Alligator mississippiensis: one gene and its partner. The protein of the gene in region 2 purifies or fractionates together with the protein of the main gene of each other region. This does not show direct contact. Links are inferred from orthologs where the notes say so. Each region holds a gene or a part of one and is shown on either strand. Other genes may lie near its edges.

The links. Proteins that work in one complex are often made in the same cells at the same time.
Region 1: the proteins of CDK2 (region 2) and PCNA purify together in Homo sapiens (affinity purification with mass spectrometry; 8 studies listed by BioGRID and IntAct, counting the BioPlex papers as one, with this or other methods). This does not show direct contact. The link is inferred for Alligator mississippiensis from reciprocal best matches to the Homo sapiens genes CDK2 and PCNA.

The regions. Positions count from the first base shown.
Region 1 is NC_081830.1:25,946,608-25,954,024, forward strand, and holds the start of PCNA (proliferating cell nuclear antigen), read right to left. Parts: upstream 3,009-7,417; 5' UTR 2,533-3,008; coding exon 2,312-2,532; intron 2,000-2,311; coding exon 1,902-1,999; intron 407-1,901; coding exon 339-406; intron 1-338. Other genes in the region: CDS2 (phosphatidate cytidylyltransferase 2), read left to right, coding at 3,239-3,322. UniProt on the Homo sapiens protein: Auxiliary protein of DNA polymerase delta and epsilon, is involved in the control of eukaryotic DNA replication by increasing the polymerase's processibility during elongation of the leading strand.
Region 2 is NC_081838.1:6,926,952-6,934,152, reverse strand, and holds the start of CDK2 (cyclin-dependent kinase 2), read right to left. Parts: upstream 3,075-7,201; 5' UTR 2,922-3,074; coding exon 2,806-2,921; intron 2,447-2,805; coding exon 2,369-2,446; intron 2,284-2,368; coding exon 2,163-2,283; intron 2,084-2,162; coding exon 1,913-2,083; intron 1,530-1,912; coding exon 1,428-1,529; intron 751-1,427; coding exon 547-750; intron 277-546; coding exon 172-276; 3' UTR 1-171. Other genes in the region: melanocyte protein PMEL, read left to right, coding at 4,819-4,882, 6,312-6,437, 6,680-6,826, 6,944-7,084. UniProt on the Homo sapiens protein: Serine/threonine-protein kinase involved in the control of the cell cycle; essential for meiosis, but dispensable for mitosis. Phosphorylates CABLES1, CTNNB1, CDK2AP2, ERCC6, NBN, USP37, p53/TP53, NPM1, CDK7, RB1, BRCA2, MYC, NPAT, EZH2.

The sequences.
Region 1 (7,417 bases), on a different chromosome or scaffold from region 2:
CTTGTGAGCTTTACCTTCAGTGGGCATAGCCAACAGGGGTCAATTAGTGCACCTCTCTTTGTAAAAGGAAGTGCTTAAAAAGGTAGGTTACAAAACGCACTGTCCTCCTGATCATGCATTTGAGAACTGAAGAGCCAAGTCAACCACTATCCACAGTGATCACCACTTCAAAAACTCTAGGCTATTCCTAATGCTTCCCATGGGCCATCTTAAAACTATCCCACTGAGGTGAGGAACTGGGAACACAGAAAATTTTAGAAGCCTTCAACATTAACATTTTACTCTCACTTATGAGTATTAGCAATTAAATTTAGCTCAGACAAAACAAAATGGCTTACTGGGATGCCAAGCTGTTCCACATCCAAATCCATTAGTTTCATCTCATAATCGGAGACCTTTTCTTGATCTAGGAGAAAAACATCAAAATACATCTGTGTGTTTGGTGAAGCAAAGTTAAACCTGTGTTTTGCAGTTAGATCCTCTTAAACTTTTACACAGAAAAGAAAAAAAGTGATATTCATAGATTGTAAGGCTGGAAGGGACCTTGGAAGATCATCAGGTCCAGCCCCATGCACCAAGCAGGAAAGATAACCGAGGGTCAGGTGACCCCAGCAAGGTGACTGTCTAGTCTCCTCTTGGAGATTTCCAGGGTAGGCAATTGCACCATCTCTGGAAGGAGCTTATTCCAGGCTGGACACCTCAACTGAAGTTTTTCCTAATGTTGAGCCTGAATCAATCTTCCAGGAGTTTGTGCCCATGACTCCTAGTTTTCCCCTTGGGTGCCCTATCAAACAGCTATGAGCATGCCACCCCACCCCAAGTCACAGGACACAAGACATTTCTTGGTGCAACTACACAAGTATCCATAAAAGCTTCTGGTCATTTAGATGATCGTCATCTACTGTACTCAGCTAAAAAAAATAAATAAATAAATAAATAAATAAATAAATAAATAAATAAAAAAAGTATACACATCACACAAAGCTTTTGAACTAGGTACTAGCATAAACCAGATGAGTGGTTCTCACACCACCCCATCATGGCGAAGGGCCTTGACTTTGGATGCCACTTTATTTTGTACAATTTCAAAGGCTCATCTGTATACTACAGTGCTCAGCTGCTTTCAGGAGAACCAATCAGTGAAGATGGAGAGGAACCAGCCAGACAGAGACAAGCCTGAGCCTCCAATTATCTAATTATATCTGCATACCTCCAAAATATCTGGCAGCACTTCAACACACTGCGGGACCCTGGTTGTGACTCAATGATTCAAGTGTTCACTTCCAGCCTCATCTGCCTATTAACTTAATAAGAGGCACTCATTTTAGTCTTCAAGTAGTGCTGCAAGTTCAAAAACTGACACTTTTTTTTTTTTTGAGGGGGTGTTTATTTTTATGCGCATGTGAGCTTTTAAGTGTTTCCTACCTTTGCTGAGGCAAGGATTTCATAGGGTGATCTCTTTGATTAGATAAACAGCACAGGATAAGAGCTAGACAAACTTTTGGAAGCAAGACATTTATCAGGCCTCCTGCATCCCAGCTGTACAGTTGGCCCAAGAGATGACCTTACAAAATCCCTGCCTATCACCTCATTCTCAGACCCCTGCAGCTCCAACATGGCTTGAGGCACCATACCTGTGAGGACTCATCTGACTTCTTTGCTGCTCATGTGACCAGACTCTGGAACTGATTCCCAGCGGAGGTGGTGCAGACACAACCTAGAGATCTTCACAAAAGTTTAGGGCTGGAAGGGACCTTGTGAGAACACAGGGGTAAAGGAGACTAGATGCACACCCTGCAGGGGTTGTTTGAACCCAGTAGTGTTTCTTGTCCAGGGGCTGGACCCAATGATCTCATGAGGTCTCTTCCAGTCCTAAACTTCTGTGAAGTACAGGTACTTACTTGGGGCCTCGAACACCAGGGCCAGGGTGTCTGCATTGTCTTCTGCTCGCAGCGTGATGATGTCTTCGTTGCCAGCACACTTCAGAATTTTGGACATGCTGCAGCAAGGGCTAGACTAGTTAGACCAGCCCAGGCAAGGCATCCTGACCCACCACATCCACTCTTCCTCCCCCCAAGCCCTGCAAGCCGTTTCCAGGCCAGAGGAGCAATGCACTGCAGGGGCCACATCCACCCTTCCCCTTCCCACCAGGCAGAGCTGCCGAAACTCCTCCCCCCGCAGGGGTTCTTTCCCGCCACTGCGCGCGGGAAAACCCTGAGCGCGGGGCGCCGGCGTGACGTCACCGCGCACGCGCGCGGCACAAACGGGACAAGCGTTGCGCTCCAAGCCCCCACAACCGCCCCCGTGGCACCTGGTCAGGTTGACGCCCATAGCGATGTTACGGTCGCAGCGGTAGGTGTCGAAGCCCTCGGAGCGCAGCGTGAGCTGCACCAGTGAGACGTGCGAGGAGTCCATGCTCTGCAAGCTGATGCCGCCCGAGCCCAGGTCCCAGCAGGCCTCAGTGATGAGGTCTTTAAGCGCCTCTAGCACGCGCTTCAACACCGAACCCTGCACCAGCCGCGCCTCGAACATGGTGACGAGAAAAAGCTACTAGACTGCTGCTTCTCGGGGCGCGCCAACGGCTCTCTTTATAGCGCCTCTGACCTCACGTCCGGGTCCCGCCTCCCCGGCTTCTCCACCAATCGCAGCAACCTGAAGCCCCGCCTCCTTGCCGCCAATCTACCGATCCGTGCCCACCAGCGGGATCGTGCGCGAAAAATGAAAGCTCCTCCTTCCGGCCAATCAGAGCCTGGGAGTCACCGGTAGTTCCGCCTACTTGGGATTCTGGACAGAATCCCGCCCACGTGCTCTGCAACCGCCAATCCCCACGCAGGTAACAAGCAGCGCGTTTCCTCCCACCAATCGAGGCCGGCCTTACAACCCGCGTTGTTTCACAAGGCTGCGAGGGTCGGCTGCTCGGCCCTGCCTCTGGGATGCTCCCAAAGCAAGAGTGCCGTGCCCAGGGGCTGCTACAGGGAGCTTCACGGCGTCTGGGGGATGGCTCATGTACAACCGCCATCGGCGTACGCCTATCATGGCAGCCACCACAGGCCGGGGAGGAGGAGGAGGAAGAGAAGAGTTCCTACATCCGGGTCAGGAGGGGCAGGGCGGGGCGAGGCGAGTGGCCTCGCCTCCTTCCCGGCTCGCGCTGCTCCCATTGGCTGCGGCGGCGCCAGGCGGATGGAACGCTGGGGCCTGGGCGCACGCGCTGCTGCTGAGGTTCGCAGCGGGGCTCAGCATGAGCGAGCTGCGGCAGCGCCTGGGCCGGGAGCCCGACGACAAGGTACCGGGGCGGGGCCTGGCGCCTCCCGCCTGCCCGCAGGTGTAGTGAGGGCTGCTCGGCCCGACCTTGCGGAGCGCGGGGGTTGCAGCGGGGCGGGGCAGCGGTGCAGTGCAGTGCAGTGCAGTGCAGTGCAGTGCAGTGCAGTGCAGTTCATCTGGGTTTGTATGTCGGTACAGCTCGGGTGGCTGGGGCGTGGGAGGCACAGCCTCAGTGCATCCCTGCCTGAGCTGGGCCATGTAAGCGTTTGCTCCCCGGGCGTAGCTCCCAGAGCCCAGAGGGATCCACTGCCAGGGCACCACTAGTAATGTGCCAAATGGGTTGTCAGCTGCACCCTAGGGGCCAGCTGGCTAGGGAGAGCTTGCATGTTGACTTCTGTATGCATAAATGCTGGTAGCATCACACCCTTAATTTCCAAGACCAAGATGAAGATGTTTTAGGGAACCAGGCTGTAGCCAAATTCATCTCTCCTCAACTCATTAATTCCTGTGAAGTAAAACACTAACTGTTTAGCAAGGCATTTCCACTCTCTTTGGCTGCAAGACGCCACGTCTAAGAGCGGGTACTGAGTTGCCATGGGATTGGCCCAGCCTGGTGCTTCTGGAGTCTCATGGGACTTGAGGCCTAAACCATTGTTAAGATGGGGTGAGAGAGCTGTTCTTTCACTGTACGCTATTACTGTACGTGCTTCTGCCAAAGCCCAATCCAGATGCTTGGAGAAATAGAGCTAAAAGGTTGGCTGTCCTTCACTAAGTCATTTGCACTCTCACCCTCTTAAAGGGTGCCCCTTGGAAGATGTGAGCAACTAAAAGCATGGACTTTCAAGGTAAAAGTCCTATTTTGAAAAAGTCTTTGGGGTTCTTTGCCATTCACAACCCTATGGGCCTCAGGAATCAAGCTGAGGGGGAAATTGTAATTACTCTTGGCTGTTTCATGCTCTTACCTTGGCCTTGTCAGCTACCATTTGGCTTGCATTTATGTTAGAACAAAGTTCTGGTTCTAATTCCAAGACAGCAGTGGAGTGCTTCAACCACGTAACCTTGAAAAGGTGAAAAGCTTTCTGTGTCAAGTAAACATCAAGTGATCACTTGAAATTCTTTTGTTTTTTTTCTCAGCCGAAATCTTTGCATTTAAAATTACTTAAGACATCCTTTTTTAGCAGCTAGCGCAAACTGTAAAATAAAGCATCATCCTTGGGTCTAATTACTTTCTTGGTTGCTATACAATTATAGAGCTGGAAGAAATGACTCTAGAAAATGGGATTGCTGGAAGCTTAACTTTTGATGAAGATGTAAAATGCCTGACTGCCTGGTAACTTGTAAAGCTTTACGGTGTTTAAATTTACCGACTTGGTTTAGCTTTGCTTTTCTATATTAAACAAGAGTGGATGGAAACTATCACCCTCTTGATAATTGACTGTTTGCACTGCATTTTTGCACTGTAGCAAGGTGACTTAACTCTTCCTGTGCCTGAAGAAGGATGTTTGTACCTGAAAGCTTGCAAAGAACAATTTTTCCAACTATAGTCTAATAAAAGATATTGCATTTACCTAAAGAACCTTGTCTGCCTATGTCCTTAGACCAGTACAGCTACAACCAATAGCCCTGTTGTATCCTGGTACTTTTGTGGGAGTTGGAATGCTTCCTTGGGAGCATTGGTATTGCTCAACTGGTATGCATACTCTCAGCAAGCAGAGTTGTCTTAGCTATGTGGGACACAGAAGGCCAAAGGGCTGTTTCTTAAAGTCTGATCTCATCAGACCCAAACCCCTGATCTCATCCGATGCATTTTTACATACAACAGGATTCCTTTAGTTAGCATTTAAGTAATGCATCCAAAATGCTCTCCATACAAGTTGGGGTTAACTGAATATCCTAAAATAATTTGAACAAACACAATGCACAGGGCCAAGAATTACATCAGCCCCACTGCCCTCAAACAAAATGTTGAAGCAAACCCCTCTCCTTCATATTCCATCGCTGACCTGCTGCCACTGACTGAATTTTGTATTCAACAGAACATGGTATAGAATAGGCAGCAAAGAACATCCTGAAGGCTGAAGTTGGAGTGGAATGTAACTGTCTGAACTGCTGAGTTGGCCAGTATCTCTCCTAATAATAATGTATTCCTTAAAACCGCACAGGGTCGGGGTCTAGGATTAGGAACTCTTGGAGGCTAGCATTGTGTTGTCTTCTGGTGTCTGCAAAGTGTCTGTAGCATACTGTGGGCATACCATCAATATACAAGACAGCAATTCAGTGAAACCTGTGCTGATACCTTAAGCCACTAGCAGGAGGTCTTCTTGAATTTTATCAGGGATGTCCCCTGTTCAGACATCCTTGTGAGTCTTCCTTTACTTACTTTGTCTCCCAGCCATAGCATAGCCAATAATATTAATTCTAGTACAGTATGCCTGTTATATTTCACAGCAGGGGAGGCTGCTTTCAAAAGGACACTGAATTTGTAAAGAGAAACCAAAAAGAATGCACTTGGTTTCATTTTTTTAAAATAAATTGTTCTGTTAGTTTTAAAACTAAAACTGGAAAATTCTTAATCTGGCTTTTCTGCCTTAGTTTTCATTTAGCTCATCTTTGACAATGGAAACAGGAAGGTGTGTTTCATTTTGTGGTGCTTCTTTTGCTAAGGTAGTGCACTAGCTGTGCTGTTGCCCTTTACAGTGCTCATGGGATTGTGTAAATGCGAAACCACATGAATGTTACTGAAATGAAAACCTCCCCTTAAGGTAGCTTGCAAAAGAAGTTCTGACTGTAAAAGGTCAGCATTATTTTACTCTTCCCTTCAGATCACAATTTAACATTTGATTAGGGAAGCTTGAATTGTGACTGCTACCCTTGGAATAAATAGGATTTGAGTGATCCTAGCTGTCTTTTTCTAGCAAATAATTCACTTGAAATTAGCTAAATAGATAGCATTACATGAGCAACCAGGTATTTAGTTTCCTGCTGTTATAGAATAGTTCAAGATTCTCATTTCCTATTTTATAGAGTTATTGTTTTACTCTGTAAAATTCAATGTCTTCTCTATTTGAGAAACCTTAAAAAAAAAAATAAAATTGAAGTCATGCTCCTGAGTTGCAAACATCGTGTTTTCACCTCCAGTTTTGAAAACGAATAAGGGCATAAAGAGAGACTATTAAGGATGCACTTACTGTGGGGTTTCAAACAGTGTTGTTTCTAAAACTGAAATTGTACTGTTTACACTGAGCTCAGCTTTGGCACAGGAAGGGTTTGGTTTAGTTTTGGATCCTCCACTGCTACCAGCTCTTTGTTGGGCATGGGGCCCGGAGTTTTTTCAAGGGCCGGTAGTTCACTCGGCTAGTAGCCGTAGGAAGGGGGGAAAGAGGGATCCGTGGCATCAAGAGGCAGAATCTTCTGGGCTTTGTGTCTCAGTGTTGCATCATCAACTTGCAGCTTGTCACAAATATTCTACACTTTTGGTGGAAAGTGACCCACCTAATCATGAGGGGAACTGCTGAAGCAAATGAAAACGGGATATTTAGCATGTGTGCTGCATGGAAGTTGGGTATACCAGTTATGCAGATAGAGCTTTCCACTGAGATGTGCAGCCCTTTTACTTACCAGCCACTAACTTACTGACCCTGATTGCTAAAAGGAATAAGCTTAAATATAAAACAAAGGATAGAGAGACCTGGGAGTCAGGATCCCAGGGGTTTTCTTGTTAAATTAAGAATGGGCACGGCTTCTAGCGTGTTATGAATGGACTTAGTGGTAAGGATGCTTGCATTCTAGTTCCAGCTGTGCTGTAGATATAGTTAGACAAAAGGCCACAGAGCAAGTCTGATTGCCAAACTTAAGTTCCTTGTGCCTGGTTTCTATCTGGATATAGGCTATGACACTCACCTACTTTAGAGATTTTGTGGTGTTTATCTACTGCACACAAAGGGCTTTGAGAGCTTCAAGTTATATCAAGTCTGGTACTATAGTGTAAAAGCCAAGAGATGTGATTTATTTTGTTATGTATAGCAGAACCCAGAGCTCCCTCCATGTCTGACTTGCACCCATTCTCCAGCTGTACAGAGAAGGAGAGCGGAGGAGCTGAGACTTGCTGTGTGGTTAAGGAAGGAAAAAAACTGACCAACAAGGTCGTCTTAAATGT
Region 2 (7,201 bases):
CTGCCAGCATCAGAGCCTGATCCACGCCGAGGGCAAGGACCTGCACCCAGGGTGGGAGCTGGTCAGGCCCCGGCCCCTCTGGGCCCCACAGTCAGTTCAGAGCTGGGCAGCAAGGGGCAGGGAGAAAGGCTCCGGTGAGGCTGGGCATTGGCTCCCTGCCCCGGGGCGGCCTCACAGGCGCAGGTGTGGCACGGCTTTGGTGACATCCCGGAAGAAGGGGTGGCCCAGCGCTGACTTGGCCGAGATGCGCTTGTTGGGGTCGTAGTGCAGCATTTGCTGGGGAAGAGAGGGGGGAGGCGGGTTAGGCCAGGCAACCGAGGGAGCCCAGCTGGGTTGCACTCTCCTTCTCCACCACCCCAAAATGCTAAGAGCCAGAGCTGGCACGTGAGCTCCCCCAGCCCCGGTTTCTCCTGCTGTTCCTCCTGCCTGTTTGCTCCCAGCACAGAGGGGACTAGAAAGTTAGTTTCCTTCTGGGCAAGCCAGGCACCAGCTCTGACCCTGCTCTCCCAGAGCCTCGAACCTTGGGCCCAGTAGCGGACTACTCACAGCCAAGAGCTTCCTGCCCTCCTCGTCCAGCGGGGGCACCACCTTGCTGAAGTCCTGCCGGGCCCACTTGGGGAAGCTGGGCTTGTAGTCAGGCATGGAGGTGACTCCAGGCCACACAGCCTCATCCGGGGTGCCCAGCGTGCGGAAGATGCGGAACAGTTGGTCGATCTCGGAGTCACCAGGGAACAGGGCTCGGCGGGTGATCTGGGAGGGGCAGAAGAAAACCATGGGGGGCACCTGGGGGCCAGGTAGGAGGTCTAGGTGCTTGACGAGCCACTTAGACTCAATGCCTTCCCTGGAGGAAATCTGCTGAGCACCGGACACTGGGCTCTGCGCAGGGGTTAGGGTGGCAGGCTCGCGGGGGGCTGAACTGGGACTGGCCGGGTGGGGGGGGCCTGGCTGCCGAGGATAACACCAGGTCCCAGAAAGGCTGTGCCCAGATGGAGCCGAATCCCATGGGAAGCATCTCCCCCCCTCGCAATGTGACATGGACCCCATTCCATGTGACCCTCTCTGCCAGCACCCGGTCCCAGGACACCCCCTGCCCTGGGGAGGAGGAAATACCAGGCTGGCACGCTGCGGCCTGCACCCCACCCCAGTCCACAAGGTCCCTTTCTTCCCTGGGCCCTGCTGGGCGTCAGCAGCCCTTTGCGTGGCCGGTTGTGACGTCTCTGCTGGCCCAGCACAGCCCCGGGGCCTAGCTCTGCAGCTCCAGCTGGGGGGGAGGGAAGGGGGGCATGGGGGCCGCGCCAGGGACTTGGCTCCGAGCCAGCTTGCACTGGGAGCTGCCCTGCCCTGCTCATATTAAGGCTCATCTTCCCTCCCGCCATTCTTGCCTGCCACGGAGTGGGACCCCCGCACCCCCCACAACGGCCACGCACCATCTCAGCAAAGATGCAGCCCAAGCTCCAGATGTCCACAGCCGTCGAGTAGTACTTGCAGCCCAACAGGATTTCAGGGGCCCGGTACCAGAGAGTCACCACCTGGGAGGGTCGGGGAGGGGCAGGACAGGGGCACTGTCATGCCCAGCAGAGGGGCTAATGCCCCAAACAAGTGAGAAGTCACCCTCCCCACCTCCATAGGAGCAGCACATGTCACCTGTCCCCAGTGGACAGAAGGGAAACTGAGGCACATGTGGGACAGTGTGCTTTGAGCAGATAGTGGGTTTCTGGGGTAGCTGCAAAGAGAATCCAGGAGTCCAGCCATGTGACCTAGCATGTCACCCCCTCCAGCTAGAGCCTCAACTAGTGGGGCTGAGCACAGGGGAGGCCACTGTGTTTGGCCCAGGCCGGAGCTCCCTGCCAAGGCCCATGTGGGAGAGCCCCTGCATACCCCAGAGTGCTGCTGGGTGGGCAGGTCCCCTCACCTCATGGGTGTAGGTGCGGACAGGCACGCCGAATGCCCGCGCCAGCCCAAAGTCGGCCAACTTGATGGCGCCATCAGCATTGATGAGCAGGTTCTGGGGCTTGAGGTCGCGGTGCAGCACGCGGTGGGAGTGGCAGAAGGCCAGGCCCTGCAGCAGCTGGAACAGGTAGCTCTGCGGGGAAGGAGACGAGGCTGGTTACGGGCACGGGGACCAGGCACAGGGCTGCAAGTGGCCCGGGCAGGTGCAGTACCTTGATGAGGGGCAGTGCCATGCCGCTGAGGGAGGCCGAGTCCATGAACTTCTTCAGGTCCTGGTGGAGGAACTCGAAGACCAGGTAGAGCTTGTTCTCCGTGTGGATCACGTCCAGCAGCCTGGGCGGGGGGGAGAGGGGTGAGACGCCTGCACAGAGCTTGCTCCCAGGGGCTGCAGTGCCCCCCCCACCCCGTCCCCACTTACTTGACGATGTTGGGGTGGTTCAGCTCCTTGAGCAGCGAGATCTCCCGGATGGCCGTGCTGGGGACGCCCTCCGTCTCCCTGCGAGGGGGGAGGGGAGGAGCAGGACCCCGGGGCACGTGAGTCTCCTCGGCCCCCCGACCCGGCTGAGCCCCTCACATGCCAACGTGTGGGAACGAAGCCACCAGGCGAGCAGAGGGGCGATGATGGACGGGGGCTTCTTGCGCCCCGCGCCCGCAGACTGCACCAGCCCCAGCTCTGGGGAGCCCGGGGGGTGGGCCGCCCCCCCCAGCCACCAGGCCCACCCACGGGCCTCAAGGGGGCAGCCCCGCACCAGAGACGCCCCTGGGCTCGCAGGCAGGCAGGGCCCCGCGGGGCCTGCCCCGCACCTCGGCCCGGGCCGGATCCTGCCCCCCGGGACCAGCCGCCCCCGCGCTCACGTGTCCAGGCGGATCTTCTTGAGCGCCACCACCTCGCCCGTGACCTTGTTCTTGGCCTTGTACACGACGCCGTACGTGCCCTCGCCGATCTTCTCCACCTTCTGGAAGTTCTCCATGGGGCGGCCCGGGCCCGGGGCCGGGGGAGCGGCCGCGCGGGGAGCCAGAGCCGGGCTCGGGGCCGCTGCGGTTGGCGGCGCGCGGCCGGATGGAACCTTCGCCCCGGGACCCGCAACAATGTTGCCACTTTCCGCCTCCCCGCGCGGCCGCTTCCCGCGTTCCGCCGGCCCCGCCCTCGCCGCCGCGCCATTGGCTGGCGCTCCTCTCGCCCCGCCCACCCCGCCGCGCAGTTGGCTGGCGCGGCCGGTGATGCTAGGAGCGACGCGGGAGAGTCCTTAAAGGGCCAGGCGCTCCCGGATGAGCCCGGCTCCCGGTGTTTGCTTCCCGGATCTCCCGGGACGGTCAGCCTCCCGCCGTCTTCTGGGGTGTATTGTGGGCAGGGGTCTCCCCGACACCCCTATAGAGCCTGGAGCTCAGACCACCAGTGCCCCGGGCTAGGCCAGGCCAACAGACCCATTGCAAGTTGGAAAGACTGAGGCCACCGTCACAGGACGAGCCCCAGGCCTCCTCTGCTCCAGCCATTAGGCCCTGCTGCCTTGGCAGAGGGAGACCCCGGGGGTCCGGCCCACAAAGCCGAGGCCCCTGCTCCATCTGGCCCCTCTTGGGATTGCGTGTGCGGACAAGCTGGATGTGCAGCATGGGGGGCAAGGGAGCACGCAAAGCGCCTGGGCCGGGACCTGGCCGAGGCTTTGCTCCAGTTGGGGTCGGGCATCGTGGAGCAGCCCCCTGCCTGGCCCCTGCCCTTCCAGGGACCCACCTCATCAAGCATCCGGGGTTAGGAGTGAGGCCCCTGACCCCATCCCAACACGGGGCCAAGGGTGTCAGGCACCCACTGGGGCCAAGAGCTCAGGTGGGCCCAGAACGGGGCTGGGGCCTTTACGCCAGAGCTGGAATTGGGATGTGCTGTCGGTGTGCATGTGTGTGCGGGTGTCTGCACGTGTGTGCGCGGGTGTCTGCACGTGTGTCTGCATGTGGGCATGTGTGTGTGTGGGTGCGTGTGTGTATGTGTGCGTGCAAACATGCAGGGGCCTGGCAGAGGTGGCAAAGCAGCTGCCAACCGGCTGCCACTTCCTGCCAACACCTGGGCTGGTGTCGTCCCTGCAATGAGGTGTCTGTGCCTGGTGCCAGCTCTGCACCCAGAATCCCCCCCCCCCCAAGCAGCAGTGTTACTCCCCCACCTCCCCCCAGTCAGGTCCAGTCCAGTCCAGTCCAGGCCCTCTAACCCAGGTCCCCGGGGATGTAACCAGTCCCATCCCTTTCACTCCAGGCCCAGATCAGTCTTAGGCTCCCTGGGCCGAGCTTCGAGGCAGGTCCTCTGGTCGGGGAACCCCCACCTCAGCCCAGGTGCAGCCCATGACCCCATGCCAGAGCAGGCACAGCCCAGCCACGCAGCGGGGGGCACCTGGGCCCAGGACCCAGGACGGAGGTGTGTGCTGAAGATACAGTCATGGGTCTGAGCTGGCCACGGCTCCGACTCCAATGGCTCCTGGAGCAGCCATCATCCGGGTCCCCGTGTCTCCAACTGAGGAGCTGAGCAGGGACAGGGCAGCGGGCACCTCTGTCCTTCATGGCCTGGATCAGGGAGGCGGCCGCTGGGGGCAAAGGCTCAAGTGTCAGCTGGTGCCCGGGTGCCCCTGAGGCTGTCACTCCTGCTCACGAGGAGAGGAAGCGCCATGCCCCCCCCCAAATTCCTGCTTCTGCGTAGGAGGGAAAACCCCCATCGTCGTAGCAACCCAAACTTGTGACTCGACCTCACCCCCCCATTTGGGGGCATCTGGAAGGTGATGCCCATGGAGGGGCGGGGCTATGCAAATCAGGGCCCCTTCTTAGCTGGGGAGACCGGGAGGCTTCGCCTCTGCAACGAGGGTCTCCCGTGGGTGCGAGGGTCTGGCCGGGATGTGGACGAGCGGGTGCTTCCTGGCAGTCTGGGCCCTCCTGGGGGCGGCCACAGCTCAGCGTGGTGAGTGGGATCCAAGCCCAGGGGCTCCCTGGGGAGCTGGGGGTGGGGGGTTCTGTCTCGCCCGTTGTGGGGTCTGGCCCCTCCGCACCTCGCTCTGGGCACCAGGGCTGGGATGGGGGAAAGCTCCACTCCTGTGCTCTGCCCAGGCTCTGCATGTGCATGTGTGTGCTGGGGGGGGTCTCTGCAGGGTCTGCAATGGGGCAGGGAGCTGGTGTCAGGGCTGCACAGGCTGGAGGGACAGACAGACCTGGGGGTGCCCAGGATGGTGCCGCCTCCCAGTGCTCCCCACAAGGGATAGACCCAGCCTCAGCCCCCTTGGGACTGGGACAGACGGATTAACGGGGTGCCCCCCAAAGCCGAGCCACGTGGGCGCCAGATTCCAGACTCTGCTAATCCCTGCAGGGGCCCGGCGCCGGGACCGAGTGGGTGACGCAGGGGGAGGGCGGGCAGGCGTGCATGCATGCCTGTGCGTGTCCCTGCTAAGAGCTCGGGGTGGCCCTGCTCCCAGGGGCTGATGCCCACGGGGGGAGGAGGGAGGGGAGCTGGCCACCCTGGCAGTGCTGCAGCCCCTGCCCCAGGCCAAGCTGCCCTTGGGGGACCTCTCTCCTCCAGGTTCCCCCTGGACCCCCCAGGCACCCCCCCGACTGCCCCTCAGTTCTCACCTGTGTCGGGGGGGGGGCGCAGCTGGGCCCCGTGCCCAGCAGGGGTAGAGCCAGGGACTTGCCCCCTTTCCTAGAACCCCCAGTGCCTTGGCTGCCGGACCCCGACGTAGACAGGGAAACTGAGGCACAACAGGACTATGTGGGGGCAGTCACCTGGGGGTCAGTGGTGAGGGAGGCTGAAGGGAGAACCCAGGTATCCCTGCTTCCAGCCCCCTCCGGATACTGGGCCAGGGCCCATTCCCCACGCGCCGCACTGCACACAGGCCTCCAGAGGGGGGCGGCCTTCTCCCACGCCCCCCCCATCCCCTAATCGTGGTCTGGGGTAGGAGTCGGCACCGGCTCAGCTGAGAGTCACATGAAAGGGCTTGGGCAGGATCTGGAGCCATGTGATGGGGCTTTGCCTGGCGCCCCCCTCCTCCCCCATCACATGCTCCCCAACGTGCGGGGCTGGGCCCGGGGCCATGGGAGGGACATGATGGGGCGGCGGGCGGATGTGGTGCTAATGCTAATGCCTCGGCAGCAACCCCAGCTCCAGCCTCCAGGGGTGGGGGCCTGGGCCCACATGGCAGCCAGGCCCATGGCTGGGGACAGCAGCCCCAGCCCTGCTTGCCCCGTGGGTTTCTACCCACTTGACTCCCATGAATGAAGACCCCAGGCATCCTGGCTCCGTGCTCCTGCCTCTGGGGGTCAGAGCTGCCTCTGGTGATGGCGGGGGCTTCTGCCCCTGCCCCTGCCTGCTGCCCCCCACCCACTCTGCGTCTCTACAGGGCCTGGCGGTAGGAACCGAGGCAGCGACCGGGGCAGCCGCCAGCCCCTGGGCTACAGGTCCTGGAACAGCCAGCTCTACCCCTGGGGGCCAAGGGGGGACGCCCGGCAGCGGGACTGCTGGAGAGGTGAGTCCTGGGATGGGACCTGCCAAGCCCGACCTGGGCTGAGCCCCAGGGGCAAGGATGGAGGGGTGGGGGAACCAGGGCAGGGGCAGCTGCAGGTTGGTAATGGGGTGCCCTGGGGGAGCCGGGGCTGTGGGTCATGGGCTGGGGGTGGAGGTTGCAGCAGCATGGAGCTGGCCTGGGGCGGGGGTAATGGGAGGGGGCAACCTCCCACGTGCCCCCCGGGCCTGACCCTCTGCCCGCAGGCGGTGACGTGACCTTTGAGGTCACCAACGATGCCCCCACCATGACGGGCGCCAAGGCCACATTTGCCATCGCCCTGCGCTTCCCCAGCAACCAGACGGTGCTACCCGATGGCCGTGTCGTGTGGAGCCGCAACTGCACTGTCAATGGTGAGGGAGAGCCCCTGCCTGGCACCCGTCCCGGACTGGCTGCTGCATGGTGCCCGGTTCCAGAGAATGGGTAGGTCCCCCCCGCTGTGCGGCACTAACCCCCCCTCGCTCTGGCAGGGACCTGGGTGCGCCAGGGTGATGCCGTATTCCCGGAGATGCTGCCTGAGGGCACGGCTGGCACCTTCCCCGACGGGCAGCCCTTTCCCCGCAGCGCCTGGGGTGGCCGCAGCAAGTTCGTCTATGTCTGGTGGACCTGGGGTGAGTCCCCTGGGCACTCCTGGCCTCACAGGGCCGCCAGCTGCCCCCTTGGCCCAAGCCTCACCAGGCTCAGGCCCAGCTGTGGTCCCACCTGCACTCTGGAGGAGGACAGGACTG